Daphnia pulex: one gene and its partner. The protein of the gene in region 1 purifies or fractionates together with the protein of each later gene. This does not show direct contact. Links are inferred from orthologs where the notes say so. Each region holds a gene or a part of one and is shown on either strand. Other genes may lie near its edges. The genes, in order: pre-mRNA-splicing factor syf1 homolog and RNA helicase aquarius-like.

Region 1 (4,471 bases):
TCAGGTACTATAGGTGGTGGTGGTAACATCATTGGTGGTGGAATTACTGGTGGCGGCATACCAAATGGAGGAGGTAGAGCCATATTTGGAAAACCAGGAGGAGGACGTGAGAAATCGATCGATACGGGAGGTTTCTCCACAGGAGCTTCAGGCTGATATTAAAATGAAATTTAAATAATAAACTTTAAAGTTTTTTGGTTGACTTTGGATGAATATTTTATTAAGGATACGGGGCCTTACCACTTCGGGAGGTTGCTCCTCCATAGAAGGAGCAGGTGAAACGCCTGATTCTGGTCGGCGTGAAGATAGATTCCCTCCACCAATGACATCAATGGCACCAGCCATTTTGCGTGCTGGCGGAGGGCCTGCTTTTTTCACAACCACTGACCCCGCATATTTTGAATTTTCGTTAACCACTGATATCGGAATCGCTTGGGCCGGGGTCGCCATCATCTGAATCAAAAAATAATAATATCGTCTTTGAGCTTCATTTGTTTACGTATTTTATTACCTTGGGTGGGGGTCCTAATCCAAGGCTAGCCGGAACACCAGCCCCAGACTCCATACGGGATCGCCTTTGTCTCTCACAATATGCTTGCCACGTTATTTCATTGAAACCGTAATTAAAATAATCAGTGATATCAGCACCAGGCTTCCTCCAAGGTTTATCTTCCAGCGAATCCAAACTAAATTCATGTGCTGGTACACCGTTAATCGCCATTGAGCCTTCGAACTCTTCCACAGTGAACTTAAGATAAGATACATATGTTAAAAACAAACTCTTGCATCAAACATGATGTAGCTCAATGTATACTTTGCTCTTTTCCCCCAATCCTTGTGCCGTTGTTCCAGCTGTTCCTCTTTTGACATTAAAACCAGCATAAGCTGCTGGGCCAGATTTTATGTCACCAATCGTGATTTGTACGTCATCATCACTTTCATCATCCTCATCGTCATCATTGTCTTGATCTTCATCTTGTCTCTCATCCTTTTCTTCGTTAGTCTCTGCAGCTTCTTCTGGATCTTTTACAATAGAAAATACAGGATGTTAAAACTGTTATGGGAAAACCAGACAAGCGATTCAACACAGGGAAAGAGACAAGGGATAATAGTTGAAGAACTTTTCCATAATTAAAAATGTACATGAAATTACCATAGCCTTCTCCAGCGTATTCCGTATTTCCGTCATTTCTGTCTATGGCAATATGATCTTCATTTTCGATTTCGTACATTTCTCCATTACCGGTGGTGTCTTGGTCGATTTTTCCATCATCGCCCTGAAAAAAAAAGAGACAAGTATCAATTTCAGTTGACGAACAATAATTTTTTTTTTAAACTCACGTATTCATCTGGTAACTGTTCCGAGGAATAAGGGAATTGTGAATTAGAATTATCTGCCTCATCTGGGTGCCGGACAGTGTCGGCCATATTCGGTTGTAAACAGCAGAAGACCCCACTTCAATTTAGGCCTGAGGGGACAAACAACAGCGAATGTACGCTTGTGGCTTGTCGGCTGTCGCTGTTTCACATCAAACGCAAAAATAAGGTATTTTTACTATAAAAACTTGTGATAATCCATTTTTATAATGATCTCGTTATATAAAAAGACGCTATTAGGGACAAAATTCAACTTTAATTTGGGTTAGACGTAAGTGTGCAACTTGGCAACACTTCACCCGGCAGACGTGCATTTACGTTTGGTTCGTAAATTTATTTGTTAAATTTTATTTGAGCCGAGTGGCTGCGAGAAAATTCATAAACAAAATGGATAAAAGTATAGGGAAGAAAACTGGAGACATTGTTTTGGTAATAATACATTGTTTTATATTGAAGTTGACTAATAGGTTTTAACAATATGTCTTCTGTCTTTAAAGTGTGAAGAAGATTTAGCGTATGAAGAGGAGATTCTACGGAACCCTTACTCTGTCAAACATTGGCTTCGCTATTGCGAGTTCAAAAAGGATGCCCCTCCTGTTGTTGTCAATTTGATTTATGAGAGAGCTTTGAAGGAAATGCCTGGCAGGTTCGTTTGATTGGTTCTTGTAGTAGTACATAGTAAATAAGTTTGTACTCATTTTCAACTATCCACATGTTTGTCTCTTCACAGTTACAAACTATGGTACAGTTATCTCTGCCTAAGAAGGAAGCAAACTAAAGGTCGCTGTATAACAGATCCACTGTATGAAGATGCCAACAATACTTTTGAAAGAGCATTGGTATTCATGCACAAGGTATCTTAAATGCCAATTATATTATTATCACACATTATTAAATACCATGTTTTTAATGAATACCATAGATGCCAAGGATTTGGATGGACTATTGCAAGTTTCTGACTCTTCAACAGAAGATTACCACTACGAGAAAGGTCTTTGACCGTGCTCTAAGAGCCTTGCCAATCACCCAGCATTCCAGAATTTGGCCCCTCTACTTGAAGTTTGTTAAAATGCATCCAATACCAGAAACAGCTGTTCGAGTTTTCCGTCGTTTTCTTAAACTATCGACCGAAGATGCAGAGGAATTTGTCGATTACTTAAAATCTATTGACAGACTTGATGAGGCAGCTGTTAAACTTGCCCAGATTGTGAACAAGGACAGCTTTGTTTCGAAGACAGGAAAATCAAACCACCAACTGTGGAATGAACTGTGCGAACTTAATTCGAAAAATCCCAAGCAAATTAAAAGTCTTAACGTGGATGCAATCATTCGAGGAGGTCTTCGACGGTGAGTGTCTGGAAAAAAATTAAATGCAAATATTTTTACAAACATAGGAATAATTTACTGGATTCTTATGTAGGTACACTGATCAACTTGGCCAGCTTTGGAATTCCCTTGCCGATTACTATATTAGAAGTGGTTTGTTTGAAAGAGCAAGAGATATTTACGAAGAAGCCATTCAGACAGTTACTACAGTACGAGACTTCACACAGGTAAAATACTTTGTGGTCGTCTTATTTAATGCGAATCAAGTTAACGTTTTTCTGATTTACGACAGGTGTTTGATGCCTATGCCCAGTTTGAAGAGTTGAATTTGAATCATATGATGGAAGAGATTGGTCAGAAACCTAATCCTACAGAAGACGATGATATTGAAGTTGAGTTGAGGATGGCCCGCTTTGAGGATTTAATGGATCGCCGGCCCTTGCTATTGAATTCTGTTCTTTTACGTCAAAACCCCCATAATGTCGCCGAGTGGCATAAACGAGTCCAGCTTTATGAGGGCAAACCTCATGAAGTTATCAATACTTTTACCGAGGCTGTCCAGACAGTCGATCCAAAGCAGGCCATTGGAAAGGTGCACACGCTGTGGGTCGACTTTGCCAAATTTTATGAGAAAAATGATCAGATTGACGATTCACGGATAGTTTTCGAAAAAGCTACGCATGTAAGTTGTTTTTGCAGTGCATTAAAAGCCTTTGATCCCCTCATCATTTTTGTGTCACTTTAAAGGTGAAATACGTGAAAGTTGATGAACTGGCGACTGTTTGGTGCGAGTGGGCCGAGATGGAGATCCGAAATTCTCATTTCCAAGAAGCTCTCAAGTTAATGCACCGTGTTACAACTCCTCCTGCACGCAAAATTAATTACCATGATGACGCCGAACAAGTGCAAACACGTGTTCATAAGTCACTGAAGGTATTTTATATTTTTAGCCACTTCCATTCTAATGATCTCTCTACGATTGTCACATTTTTATTTTCTAGATTTGGGGTTTGTACGCTGATCTTGAAGAAAGCTTTGGTACTTTCAAAACATGCAAGGCCGTGTATGACCGTATCCTCGAGTTGAAAATTGCAACACCGCAAATCATTATGAACTATGCCATCTTTTTGGAGGAAAATAACTACTTTGAAGAAGCTTTTAAAGCTTACGAACGTGGCGTTGCTCTTTTCAAATGGCCCAACGTGTACGACATCTGGAACACCTATCTCTCAAAGTTTTTGAAACGCTACGGCGGCTCAAAATTGGAACGAGCTCGAGATCTCTTTGAACAGTGTCTTGAGGGATGTCCGAATAAGTTTGCCAAGACTTTCTTTATGCTCTACGCTAAACTCGAAGAGGAACACGGCTTAGCCCGTCACGCTATGAACGTTTACGAGAGAGCCACCAAAGCTGTGCCAGCAAATGAGCGCTTTGACATGTACAATATGTACATAAAGAAGGCATCCGAGATTTATGGTGTGACCAAGACGCGCCACATCTATGAACGATCCATCGAAGAGCTACCCGATCACCAGGCTAGGGAAATGTGTTTGCGATTTGCCGATTTGGAGCGCAAATTGGGAGAAATTGACAGAGCCCGTGCTGTATACGGACATTGCAGCCAAATGTGCGACCCCAGAGTTGCGCCTGAATTTTGGAAGGTATCTTATCTTTTATTCAATTCCGTCCTAGAAAGTTATTCACCCATCATTTTTTTTAGGTTTGGAAAGAGTTTGAAATTCGCCATGGCAACGAAGATACGATGCGG
Region 2 (4,470 bases), on another chromosome or scaffold:
CACCATATCCTTCCGGTTCTTTTATTTTTACATAGGAACCACCACAACTTGCTTGATGAGCAGCCCACCAGTTATCATGTGGTCCAGGAGCTCTATTCATTGAGCGCTTTACTAGTCCATAGAAAGGTTGCCTATGCTGGCAAGGGCCTGTACATTTCCACCAATGCTGTTTGTACAGTTTTACTTCATCGTGGAAGCTGTGATAAATCTGAGAGTGAATAAATATTTTAATTTTAACCAATAAAAAAGTCTAAAAGAAAATACAGGGCTTACTGTGATTTTAGTTCCACTTTCTTGGTTGATTCTGTGCATATGAAATTGAAATTCTGGACCATGGCCATCCCTGTCCCTGTTGTTGTTCGTCAGGAACAGGAAGGCGTGGATCATTTCATGCTATTAGAAATAATAGTATTAGTATAAAAATTTTAATTCTAAGGAAATTATTTGTTTACCAGAAGAGTTTCAACAAGATCCTTTCTTGGTCTCAATTTCAAAAGTGGTACACTAAGGCTGATGGAGCAATGCCCAGATCTCCTTCCTTCATACCTACACAAACCAGCACACCTACAAACAAATTCATTAGAATACACTTCTATGGTTGTTGAACTGATTCAAACTATACACAGTCATTCTCGGGCTCCATTTCACCACAACACTTTTTAGCTGGCTAGAAAAAAAGCGATCATCAAATTGAAGAAACAGACTATGAATATCGGGGGTGGGATCCAAATATTCCCATTCTTCGTCCACGATAGAGTTGGGATACATTCCATTTTTCTGTTTGCTTATCAAACTCATTTACTGTTCTTGATTTAAAACAAAATGTGCAGTGGCCAATGGAGTACTGAATTACTGATCAAAGTCACCGGAAGTCCGGAACTATTTACAAACTTTTGAATCGTTGAAGTTCTTGATTTCGTCTGCTAATGTTTCTGTGGCAACACAGGCAGCGGGCGCCATACATCAAGATTTTAAACGTTTACTGATATCATAATTATTCAAGGATTTAATCCTTTGGGCACCTCTTTGAAAAATAAAATTTATTTTTCACTTTACCAATTACTCAAAAAAAGTCAGAAATTTTTTTGGAAAATAAGGAGAATGGCGGGTGGCAACGTCGTATTTACACTTAAATTTAATAAATCCTAATTTTAGAGTTTAATAAGAAAATATATTGAAATAGGCCAAAGGGGAAGGTTGTTTGGCTTATAAGGTTGCTTGGTACACGCTCGTACTCCATTGAGCTGCATACTGGAACTTAATTGAGCCACTTTGCGTTGCCGAGTGAACGGTAACGGGCCACGATACTCAATCAGGGGTTAATCGTACGTCTGAATGACACTACTTCGGAGCGTGAGACTAACTAGCAGAGTCATCACTGAGGTTGAACGGGTTACAACCTTTGTGATAGACATCCTTTACAGGCTTACAGCAACCGGATGCTTAATAGTTCAGAAGGAATTATTTATTGTTTGTTGGTTTACTATTTGACTATATATTGATGTATAGCAGATATGCAATATTTTTTTTCAAAACTTGTATGTAAAACAGATTCCAAAACTTGTTCAGTTGTTCTGAAAATCACATAACGAAAAAAAAAAAACAAATCGACCGCTTTGTTTAGTGTCCAGAGCCGCCGCTTGGGTTTCATCGTCTGCTGCCGGTTTCTGTGGCAACTAGGCGCCATCCGAGTTTTCAACTTTTCAAGCTGATAACTTGCTTGACGTTTCAGGCATTTTTAAAACGTATATATTGTTACAAAATGGAAAGCAAAGATCGAAACGATGGTTCGAGTAACAAGAACAATGAGAATAAAACACCTTTAACAGTCGATCAAATCAATTCTGATCGAATCACACAGGTAACAAATCTGTTGCATCAAATCCTTCACTATCTAACACATTTTCTTCAGGTTGCATCAAAATACTGGGCACCACAAACATGTGGAAATCACATGGATTTCGACGCCAGCATAGTTGACCAAATTTATCACCAAGAAGTTCAAGGTGCAAAATTCATGATTCGCCGGATCATGATGCTTGAGTTTAGCCAGTATCTGGAAAATTACTTGTGGCCAAACTACAAACCCGATAATTCCTCTGCGTCACATGTGTTATCAATAGTAATCATGGTTAATGAAAAATTCAGAGAACGTGTATCAGCATGGCAGGTGTGTGTTAGTTCTGTTATTCAGATAATATGTTAATTTACATTATTTATTATGTTGTTTTTGTTTTAGATTTTCCAAAAACTTCCAGAAAATTTTCCGAGCCTTTTTAAACAACTGATGGAAATGTCCCTTGATGAAAAATGGGGACTTAGTTTTAAGGAACGAACCATGATCCTCATCTTTTTTAACCATTGTTTCAATAGCCTTGAAATCGATCTGATCCGTGATCAAGTTCAGAAATTGGTCTCATTGTCTATTTGGACTTGTTTACCAGAGGTCAGTAAGATTACAGTAAAAACATCTTTTTCAGACAATTCAAGAGATTACTAAAAAATATCTTGAATACATTTTAGGGAAGAAGAGAACAAGAACTCAATGCTTTTCCTAAACTCAGAAAGTTTTGGAAAGTTATTCAGAAAAAAGACTCCAAAGAGAATGAGGATTCCAAAGCTAAAGCTGATTTTGAGCGAAGATTCCTTCAGCGTTTGATGCACAAATTTCTCTCCCTTTTAGCTACTATTCCGTTGGAAGGTAAAGATTTTTTATTGTATACGATTTTGAGAATTGTAATTAAAGCGTTATTCCAAAATGATACGTATAGGAGACATCGACGTAGAAGCAGTTCACTATTGCGAACGTTTTTTGGAGTTACTGATTGACTTAGAGGCTTTACTGCCCACTCGCCGCTTCTTCAATGTCGTCATGGACGATTGTCATCTGGTCACGCGTTGCCACCTGTCAATGTTGAATCAACGAACTGAAGGGAAACTATTCTCGCAGGTCAGTGTTTTCACTTTCAGTGTATTTCATTTGCGATTTTTTTAAATGCGCCTCGAGTTATGTAAACGTACAAAAGAAAGAATAAGCATCGTCCACGCAGTGTTAAACAACAAGGCTAGATCGGAGTTCCGAGGGCCATCATTTCTTCGCCGTAGTAGTGTCCCCGATCTCTTGTTTTCGGTGGGAAGCAGCGGCGACAAAGCCAACATTGCGACATTTGCAGGCGTATTTTCAAAAGGTGCATGACGCGGCGTCCCTGTAAAATCAAAAATAATTTAGATTCGCCTCCAATTAACGTGCTTATCATCCATCCTTTTTACTTTGAGGGCAGCCCAAAAAATTAGAAAAGGCAGTACAATGTCAGCCAAGATCCGTAGGCCGACTAAAATAGGATATTGTAACCAAGAAAATGTTTGGATTATCCAAACGGTTTCGATGATGAGGAAGAGACGGGTGTAAGCCTGAAAGCTAATGCAAATGAATGTTTTAATTACATTTCTTTAACTCAAAGGAGATCAGGTTTTTCTTACTATCCCTTGGTGCGGTGAAATGTCCGTCCGTAGGCCGTCTGATTACTAAGAGTAGAGCGAGTGGCAAAGTACACGTAAATATTGACCAGGAAAAGGAAGACGCAAGTCGAGCAGAATAGGGCTAATCCCAACCACCCTGTAGAAAATGATTTCCTTTTAGCAATGTGAAATTCGCTTAAAACTTGTTTCGCGATTCTACTTACCGATTCTGTACCAAGTGAAGAAACTGTGAGGTGAAGTGGTCCCGTGTGACTGGTCTTCAATGAAAAAGTGCACCATAACCGCTAGACCTGTCACACAAACCGCTGAACCCCACGAATACAGTGAATAAAAAACGTAGCGCTTTCCTTCCGGTCGCATGGCTTCTTTCCGTGGGTATCTATCAAATTGTAGAAAGAAAAAGTCGTTGGTTTTATTGAAGTATTAGTGATATCAATTTCATTTAGATTACCTGACGGCCGTCCATGCTCGGTGTCCGATGGCACTGAGCCAAAAATGAACGGCAACGTCTGAGCCATGAACCACCGACTCCAAGAAAAGTAAATTGAGGTACGGACTAGGTCGAGAATCGGCAGATGAGAGAATTAGGTTGCTAATCATGGTGACGATCATTGAAACGACGAGGCTAATGAGCATGCAACCACTCAGATCCCGTAATTCTTTGAGAACGAGATGAATTCCGGTTAGCGTGAGCAATACCAACAGGCCGACACCTAAGCCGATGGGGTAGAAAATTCGCACAAACATTTCGAAAAAGTCGCTCTCATCCAACGGGCCCGGCTCGCAGATGAGAGCGTAGTAGACCGGGCCGTCTGACGGAGGCGACAACGGTGCTGAACTTGTGTTTTCGGCACCGTTTGGTAATCCGTGGCCGAAATGTGACACGGATCCCAAAAGTCTAACACCGTCCACGCAATACTGATCAAGTGGATATTCGTGGTGACGAGGAACCTCAGCCAACTTGTCCACCACGTGACGCAGGACACCGAA

The links.
Region 2: the proteins of pre-mRNA-splicing factor syf1 homolog (region 1) and RNA helicase aquarius-like fractionate together in Homo sapiens (co-fractionation; 3 studies listed by BioGRID and IntAct, with this or other methods). This does not show direct contact. The link is inferred for Daphnia pulex from reciprocal best matches to the Homo sapiens genes XAB2 and AQR.

Annotation. Positions count from the first base shown.
Region 1 is NC_060020.1:2,902,965-2,907,435, forward strand, and holds the start of pre-mRNA-splicing factor syf1 homolog, read left to right. Parts: upstream 1-1,455; 5' UTR 1,456-1,546; intron 1,547-1,607; 5' UTR 1,608-1,764; coding exon 1,765-1,806; intron 1,807-1,874; coding exon 1,875-2,023; intron 2,024-2,107; coding exon 2,108-2,231; intron 2,232-2,299; coding exon 2,300-2,724; intron 2,725-2,797; coding exon 2,798-2,930; intron 2,931-2,995; coding exon 2,996-3,385; intron 3,386-3,450; coding exon 3,451-3,636; intron 3,637-3,704; coding exon 3,705-4,364; intron 4,365-4,423; coding exon 4,424-4,471. Other genes in the region: pre-mRNA 3'-end-processing factor FIP1-like, read right to left, coding at 1-152, 241-453, 512-748, 815-1,023, 1,154-1,277, 1,342-1,428. UniProt on the Homo sapiens protein: Involved in pre-mRNA splicing as component of the spliceosome. Involved in transcription-coupled repair (TCR), transcription and pre-mRNA splicing.
Region 2 is NC_060021.1:10,929,460-10,933,929, forward strand, and holds the start of RNA helicase aquarius-like, read left to right. Parts: upstream 1-1,654; 5' UTR 1,655-1,762; coding exon 1,763-1,861; intron 1,862-1,912; coding exon 1,913-2,170; intron 2,171-2,239; coding exon 2,240-2,446; intron 2,447-2,523; coding exon 2,524-2,701; intron 2,702-2,771; coding exon 2,772-2,950; intron 2,951-2,951; exon of another isoform or gene 2,952-3,065; coding exon of another isoform or gene 3,066-3,206; intron 3,207-3,270; coding exon of another isoform or gene 3,271-3,418; intron 3,419-3,480; coding exon of another isoform or gene 3,481-3,616; intron 3,617-3,683; coding exon of another isoform or gene 3,684-3,859; intron 3,860-3,931; coding exon of another isoform or gene 3,932-4,470. Other genes in the region: DNA-dependent metalloprotease dvc-1-like, read right to left, coding at 1-208, 274-393, 453-564, 623-798; probable G-protein coupled receptor Mth-like 5, read right to left, coding at 3,066-3,206, 3,271-3,418, 3,481-3,616, 3,684-3,859, 3,932-4,470.